Linked DNA regions of Drosophila melanogaster. The protein of the gene in region 1 interacts with the protein of each later gene in a pairwise test. Each region holds a gene or a part of one and is shown on either strand. Other genes may lie near its edges.

Region 1 (3,050 bases):
CCAACTGAGGCCCAAAATCAATGGTTGCATTTGGGTGCGTGCGGGAACGCAAGCGGGTTAATGGGATAACGGGCCAACGACTGACCAATGGTTATTGGATATGGATTTTATAATATTATCTATACCTTCAAGTAAACAGAACAAACCAAATTTTAACGATAAAACATAACTTCAGAGTCTATGCCTTTATGCACATTGGCAAATATGTTATTGTAATATATATAGCCCTTTGTTTGATTATACAATTTAAGATGTTCGTCTAAGAATCTATTAGTGAAACTAAGGGTTTCATAGGTGACTAAATTCTTGAGTCACTGAAGCTTAACCTGTCGACTTTGTAGCTTAAAGTGCAATAGTACTTCTATATAGTATTGTACAATCTGCCGCAGTGAATATTCTAGCTGCCCCACTTTGAAACCCATCTTGTGTGTGGAATAATAATAATGACCCACCGCTAAATCTTAACCCGAATGCGCTGAAAAGTATGTCACAATGCAAAACACACAATACGTATTTCTTTTCGGTATTTTCCATTGCGTTCAAGCTGCTTTTATTCACTGATTCTCAGAGTTTCGCCATGACAGCCACTCGAGGATTTTAGCAAGGAGTCGATAGTTCAATTCACTGCCGATGAAGCGAGAATTAGTAAGCACGTTGGCCGTAGCCGTGTCCGATCTCGTAGCCGCGAGCGCCATCCAACTCGTAGGAGGGAATGGCGTACTGCTTGTAGGTTCCGGGATTCACGGCAGCGGCGGAAGCGGCGGCAGCGGCAGCGGCACTTCCTCCATTACCCTCCGATCGCAGGCTGCGGGGATAGCTGTTGTAGCCACGGGATGGTCCGTAGGCGGGCACCTCCTCGTAGACGACGCGCTGAACAGGACCGTAGCCACCACCGTAGCCACCACCATAACCTCCACGGTTGCCGTACGCTGGGCTGGCGTTGATGTAGGCGAAAAGGGCCAGGGTAACGCAGACAATCTGAAGGTGAAAAGGGGAAATCCGGAGGATCAGTTGGCTGCCACTCCTTCACGGGGACTACCACAACTTACCAGGTACTTCATGGTGAGTGCTTAGTTTTGTTGGTTTGGGGTAATCAATCAAACTATGATTTACCGACCAGAAACGCTCGCTTTTATACGCAAATTTTAGCCTGGACATTTACGTGACCTATATACACTAATTGTTCTGTTTCAGCCCAGAAATGGCATTTCATAATTGCCCGGCTGGAATATACTCACATTTGATTTATGTACTTGTTGTCAAGCCATTATAAAATCGCTTGGTTACGCGATGTGCTATTCTACCGGGTGTTGGGTAGTGATAGCACTACGAACACGCGACTCTTCCAAATGGGAACCACGAACGCGTTTATTTTCGAATACAGTCCAAAATTTGTTGAATTGAACTTTATATTATCCACATTCTCGGGGGTAATGGTTTCCAGGTCGGTTGTGTCCGGAACTTGGCTTGTCTAAGTGAGGATTCTTCTAGAACTGGTTCCAGCCGGTTTTTCTGATAAAACCTATATAGAATCATCCCTTTAAAGTGACCACTAGTCACATACAAAACTTAAAATTATAACTAAAACATTTTAAAGTATTTCAATCATTTTGAAATTTTACAAAAACATAATTTCAAGCAAAACTATATTCTATCTAATCTCATTTTATCTAATAGGTTCTTTACTTATGGTAACTTAAAAAAGTCAAGGCTTATTTGACGAACTATAGTTTTAAAGTGGCCCCACAAATGAATTTAGTTTTAGCTTTTCAGCTTCATTCGCCATGAGAATTATTCTTTAGCACTTTAAGCAGCATTTTCATTTAACTACGAAACCACGAAATTTTTGCTGGCTCAAAGTATCGCTTGGCATTGCAATGAACCGCAAGTCTATGCCAATTCAGCTAAGATATGCAGATCTCAATTCTCGGCCCGAAACTAAAAACCCAGCAAGAATACAGTACTCAAAATTTTAAGTCTTGATGTTTTGGCTTTTATTATTATGACCTAGTTCCTTATGGGCAGGTAAGTTTTTGGTTCACTGTTCAACGTTTTGCCACTTAGTAGCTGGGCCTCTTGTAGCCCTTCTTTCCGGCGGCCACGGAGCTGGCAGCAGCGGCTGCGGAGCCTCCCTTCACCTTCTCGCTGTGTCCGTACTCCTGGTTCACGTAGCTGGTGGGGGGATAGACGGGCTGGGCGTAGCGGGGAGCCTCCTTCCAGACCAGAGGAGCTCCAGCGCTGGGAGCGGCCAGGGCGAGCTTGGCGAGGGCAATGGCCTGGGCATCAACTGGTGGGGCACCGCCGTAGCCGGAACCGGAGTACTGAGATCCCACATTGGCACCGCTGTAGGCAGAGGACACGGGCACAGGCACCGACTCGTAGGCACCGCCATATCCTCCATGGTTTCCGCCGTATCCACCACCGTATGAGGGAACGATCGCCTTAACGGTCAGGGCAGGCTGCACCTGGTAGGCATAGCCACCGACTGGGGCACCACCGTATCCACCACGGGAACGTCCGTAGGAGTTGGCCGAAACGGCAGAGATGGCGCAGAGGCAGATGCACTAAGGGATTCAAGAAAAAATTCAATTAATTTGGGTTTAGACTGAAGTGTATTAGAAAAGAAAGATCCAATCATATTATCCAATTATTATAATATGTAGTTATATTTTATTGAAAGGATCATACTGGACTCAGTTGAGGTGTCAATAGAAACAATATTGGAACTTAAGGCTTACCATGAACTTCATCATTCTGAGGCTGAGTTGGTTAGTTGATCGATGCGAAGGTAACTAATGTCTTATTCTGGCGCAATGTTTTGTTTTTATACCAGATCCAGGCAGAGGCCCAACTCTTACGTGACGAATATGATGCAAGTTTCGGCTCTCCGGGTTCCCGCAGACGCAGTTCCAGGCCTCGCCTCTTTGTCCAGCAATCTTGAGACGCCGCCGGAGACGTGCAGCCAGGCCGAATCCGCACTGGCCAAAATGCTGGCTCTCAATTCGGGCCGGTCCAGATAGCAGGCGTCTGTGCTTACGCCATCGTCTACC
Region 2 (5,391 bases), on another chromosome or scaffold:
ATAACGAAGTGGAGCGTGTAAGAGAGTTTATCAAGAAGGGCCAGTCGATGGCTCGCGATGACTGCGACTATACGGCTCTGCACTATGCGGCCCGCAATGGGAACGAGCCCATCTGCAAGCTGCTTCTCGACGAGGGCAAGGCAGACGTGAATGCTGTGACCAAAGCAGGAGCCACCGCGCTGCATCGTGCAGCCATGATGGGTAACAACCATTGCAAATCGCAGTTATGATCAATCAATACTACGAGTTTTAATCTGACGGCAGGCCACTTGGAAATCGTGAAGCTACTGGTCGAGCACAAGGCTAATCTTCTGCTGCAGGACGAGAGCGGACAGACCGCTTTGCATCGAGCAGTGATGCGGGGCCACCTGGAGGTGTGTCGCATTCTGCTGGCAAAGGAGCCAACACTTAAGCTGGTCAAGGATAAAAAGGACAAAATTGCATTTGAGTACATCATGGAGAACGCCAATGATGATTTTAAGCTGCTGCTGAAGCCCTAAAGGGCTTGTCATTCCCCGTTCAACATATTCGTATTCGTTACGGTTTAAATATCTTTGTTTATTGAGTCTGTTAACACGTTTTCTATAAAATTGCACCCGATATCGTTGTAAAATCCTACTTAGAAATTGCATACGTCCTTATTTGTTTGCATTGTGTGCGAGATCGATTGTATATGGGAAAAGTAATCTTAACGTTTGCGTAGTCAAATTAACATAGTGGATACATACATCGTTTAAATCTTCTATATAGACTATATACACATGCCTAGTAAACATAAAATGTGCAAGTAATTTAGTGAAAACTCTGTGCCCAACAGGATGTGCACACGGAACTCGTTTTGAAAAATGCGAGATTTGCGTGAAAATTCTGTTCAAAATTTGTAATACATCGTAAGAAAATTAATATCACATTGGAGTCCGTGTATCGAAGTTGTTAATTAATCTGGCGTTGAAATTGAAATTAAGGAAACTATTGCAGAACCTTCCTACACACTCGTCGCCAATTTACAAAAACTATACGCTACCTATCATTATAGCAAACATATAAAACCTATATAATCTGAAAATAAAATTCCTAAAGCGCAATCAATCCCAAGACTCAGTCCATTTAACAACAGGTATATCGACCGGCTCCATACCCCTCACCGGCGGCAGTTCGTCAAAGTCGCTGAGGTAACGCTTCAAGGTGGCGGGTATGGCGAACTCATCCACAATCCTCCCCAGCGATGACCGCTCCTGAGTGGGAAGATACCTTTCCTGCACCTCCGGCCGCGTTTGCAGGCATCTCAGGAGACTCCGACGAATCTCCAGGCGAGCGAGAGACTGCAAGGAGCGTGGCTGGGTGCCAAGCAAACACATTTCCCGCTCGAATTCCAGCCGCGCTGGTGGCCAGTCCTTGGGCAGGGGTCGGTGCTTGTGCGGAAACTGAAAGCCAGCGTTGCCTATGGACAATAGGAAATGAAAATAACTACCATGTACTTCATAGGAACTAAGATCAGAGTAAGCAACTTACATAGCAACCTGGCAAAGGCCAATCGTGTTGGTGTGCAATTCGATCTGAGCTCATTCACCACATGTTCCCGGCAAATCTGCGCCAGATTGCAGCCCTCGTGGATGAGGAATTCGGCCACCTCCAGGCGGTGCAGGTTGATGGCCCTGGACAACGGAGTGTGACAATAAATCAGGCCACAAACGATTGTCGGAGCACACGAGTCATAGAAATCATTACGAGCGCTGGGCGATTTGGCAAGCAATACACGCAGTATGCGGCTAAACTCCTTAACCCAAAAATTCTGCTGCACGGCAAACAGAACCAAGCCCTCATCGTGGACATCCGAGTAGAGTCCGAGCTTGCGCTGTTCCTCAGCCACGTTCAGCAGATACTCAAGCATTTCGTGACGCCCCCGATGGATGGCCAGCATGATGGGTGTGAAGTTTTTGAGATTCCATACGGACAAACTCTCGCCGTACTGCAGTAGAAGCTCCACCAGTTCCTTGACATTGGACTCAACGGCGAGATGCAGCAGGTGTTGGGAGGCCAGGCGCCGTGCTCCGCGCTCTAAGAGCAACTTGGCCATCTGGGTGTGACGACCCCTCACCGCGTACTGCAAGGCCGTGTGATTCTGCTTGTCCTGGATATTGATGCGAGCACCACGCTTCACCAGCTCTTCAGCTACGTCCAACATGCTGCAGGCAATGGCCGCCATCAGTGGTGTCTCGCCATCATCATCCGTGTCATTGATGTTGATGTTCGTTTGAAGCAGTAGACGGGCAGATTCCGCACACTTGCTTTCGATGGCCATATGAAGCGCCGTCTTGCCATCACTCAGGGTTTTGGCATTCACCAAGGCTCCGTGCTTGATCAGTAGCTCGGTGACACCGGCGAAACCGGCACCCAGATGGAGTGGCGCGTATCCATCGTTATTGAGGACATTGATAGGTGCGTTGTGTTCCAACAGGATGCGCACACACTCCTCGTGACCCCAGTAGGCGGCGTAGTGCAGCGGAGTGGCCACATCGGCATCGTAGAGATGCGGATCATGTTCGCGACAGGAGACACAGCACTGGGATGATATGAACTCTCCGGTGGTTTCGAAGGTTTTCGCATAATACTGATACAATTGGCTATCCTCTTCGCCGCTGCCCGCTCCATTCTCCGCACTATTCTCGAACTCATCCACCCACTCCAGTTTCTCCATACCCTCGGGCGTCCGCTCGATCTCGAGGCTATCCGTGTTCGCTGCAATTCAAAACCAACGTGAAACGTTCTAAGAAAGCAGTTTTTGAAAATCTTTTTGCTAAGACAGTATGAAGTACAGGTTTCAGGTTTGACAAGATTTTCGTTACTTGCCACATAGAACTAGCCGTGTCTACTGTGTCTGGTTGCAGTTGGAACCCATTGTCGAGCATTGTTATCAGCCGGTTAACTGGCCAACCGATAACCGGTTTTCCGGCCTTCACTTACTTTTCTCTGTGCTTGCATTATGTTGGATAGACCCGAAAAGAGAAAAGAATGCACAACAAGAAATTGAGTACGTACAAAATTAACCGACTAAAATTGGATCATTCAACTTAGTGGGAGTATTAAAATTATAATAAATTCTGTATAGTATTATATATACTCCAAAAGTGAACAAACGAACTGGCACTTCATTTAAAATTTTCTTGTATCTAACTAATTCGTTTCCTGGATCCATTGATTATTATTATTATTATTTATGTTTATGTTTTACCTTTGAACAATATACATACACATTATCTAGCTTACCCACAGCATTTTTTTTTCTAATGTTCTCTATGTGTTTGTTTTTAATGCAATTAAATTTTCCGAAAGTTAGTTTCGTTTGTTTTCAGAACGAACCAGTGGAAGGAAAACTCACACTGATGAAAGACATTCAGCTCGGGCTCCTCGCAGGATTGAAGCAGCAGCTCCAACAGTTCGGCATCGCCCAGAATGGCCGCCGTGCCCACGGCAGTGCGTCCGCAAGTGGGCGATACATACGAGGCCTGGGCACCTTGCATGATGCAGCCCAGAGCCTGCTCGAAATCTCCGCTCTGTACGGCGGTTAGCAGGCGTTCGTTGAGGTCGTAGGACAGCATTTTGCCATCGGGTTAGTAATTTAGTTAGTTAGGCTAACTGAAGCTGGTTAGCGAAAAGGCGAAGCGAAAAGAACAAACCAAATGATAAGCAGCTGCTTGTGGGGTGGTGTGAAAAGTGCGTCGATGTCGTCAGTGGCAGCAACACTCCCCCGGAAAGTCTCATCGAGAAGTGAAACCAAACATCCGGCGTGCGCAGAAGCAGTACCAATTTTTGGCTGCATAGCGGGTGGTGGTTTTCTTTTTTTGGGGCGGTTTGAATTGGCCATTCTATTGAGCAAATGGAGAGTACAATAAAGAAGAAATCAGCTGGCAGTTCGCTTCCAAGCCCACTCATCGCTTGTTTGGTTTATTTTCGACGTCTGTGTGTGCAGTTGCTATGTTTGTGGGTAGTGAATGTTGTTGCCTCAGCTTAAAAAACGCTTAACATTAGCTAATCTATTTGGTTTCCTTTGCTTCCTTGGCAATTTGCAGCGATTCCGTGATGAAGAGTTTGGCCAGCGATTGCGAACAGAATTGTGCGATATGCTGGGCGTGGGTATTGATCTGGCCAGAGGTTATGGTGGCCGTCAGGCGGTTGGGCGCAGTCATGGGGCGGAACTGTTTGATCACTTCCTCCTCTGGCACCGTGGGCTCTCCCTTCGATGTGCGAACGGCGTTCTCGGCGGCCAGCTTAGCCAGAGCACGGTGCTTCTCCTAAAAAATATAAATGCAAGGAAAGCGATTAGGAATTTTTACATATTTAATTATATTGCTACGTACCGTATCCTGCTTGAAGACCACCTGCTGGTACTTGTTATAGCGCACTGCCTCCTGGTACAACTCGTCGACGCGCTCGATCAGGCTACGCATTTGGTTCTCCAATACGGTGGCGGTGCCCAGGTCCAGGAAGTTGTGCCCCTTGTCCTCGGGCAGCAGCTCGTTCAGCTCGCTCATCATAATGTTGGTCAGCGGCGAGTTCTTGATCACAATGGGAATCTCGGCGAAGAGGTTCTCGTAGCCGACCTTCAGGGTGCGGAATGCCTCTGGAGTGAAGTCGCCATCCTTGTACATCTGAATGGCCTGCGGAGTAAGGCGGTAGGCCTTCAAGCACAGGAATCCGCGGGATGACTTCTGCGTATCGTAGACGACAACGACGGACTCTTCAATGCTGGTCTGGTAGTGGTACTGCGATTCCAACAGAGCCATTGACAGGCTGTTGCCCACGTCGGAGCTCTGGTACCAGCCCACATGGAGATGATCTACGTTGACGCGACGCAGGCGACGCATCACGGTCAGCTGGTACATCTCCTCGTCCATGGTCTCATCGCCGCTCTTGGGAAACGGGAAGCAGTTGGTGATCTCCAGGCACTTGTCTACCACCAGACCGAGCAGGGCGCCCTGGGCGAGGTCCATGTTGCTCGACTCCTCATGGCAGTGCTTCACCATCTTCATGACGGCCTGCAAGGTAAAGTGATCGTAGTAATTATGTTCCAAAATCAATTAGCGACAGACAACTATTTGCATTTGAACAGGGGCGTGGAAAGTAGATATATTTCGGACTTTCTTTTAATAGTTTCTCTGAAGAAAACATTTGACTGAAGTTTTTTGTGCTATGGTAATGAAGAGACCGGCCCCCTTTTCCTTATAGCTCTACGCCCATGTCCTCACGAACACCCATACAAACACACACAAAGCACGCAAATTTCTGAGACAGCGCGTGGCATTAACTTTTCCGGCTTTCGCGCCGGTTCCCACGGGCCAATCTCGGCCAGGTCTTTTGGCCAACAGCACTACTCACCAGTCCGTCGCATTG

What was found. Proteins that work in one complex are often made in the same cells at the same time.
Region 2: the proteins of Cp15 (region 1) and CG9121 interact in a two-hybrid assay, tested with the Drosophila melanogaster proteins (one large-scale study listed by BioGRID).

Annotation. Positions count from the first base shown.
Region 1 is NT_037436.4:8,726,538-8,729,587, reverse strand, and holds Cp15 (chorion protein 15), read right to left. Parts: upstream 1,108-3,050; 5' UTR 1,062-1,107; coding exon 1,050-1,061; intron 979-1,049; coding exon 643-978; 3' UTR 522-642; downstream 1-521. Other genes in the region: Cp18 (chorion protein 18), read right to left, coding at 2,061-2,564, 2,739-2,753. UniProt on the Drosophila melanogaster protein: Chorion membrane (egg shell) protein; plays a role in protecting the egg from the environment.
Region 2 is NT_033779.5:5,047,279-5,052,669, forward strand, and holds CG9121 (uncharacterized protein), read right to left. Parts: upstream 3,698-5,391; 5' UTR 3,600-3,697; coding exon 3,380-3,599; intron 2,971-3,379; exon of another isoform or gene 2,851-2,970; intron 2,803-2,850; exon of another isoform or gene 2,740-2,802; coding exon 1,513-2,739; intron 1,442-1,512; coding exon 1,086-1,441; 3' UTR 540-1,085; downstream 1-539. Other genes in the region: CG44001 (uncharacterized protein), read left to right, coding at 1-201, 265-500; eIF3h (eukaryotic translation initiation factor 3 subunit h), read right to left, coding at 4,035-4,292, 4,359-5,036, 5,377-5,391.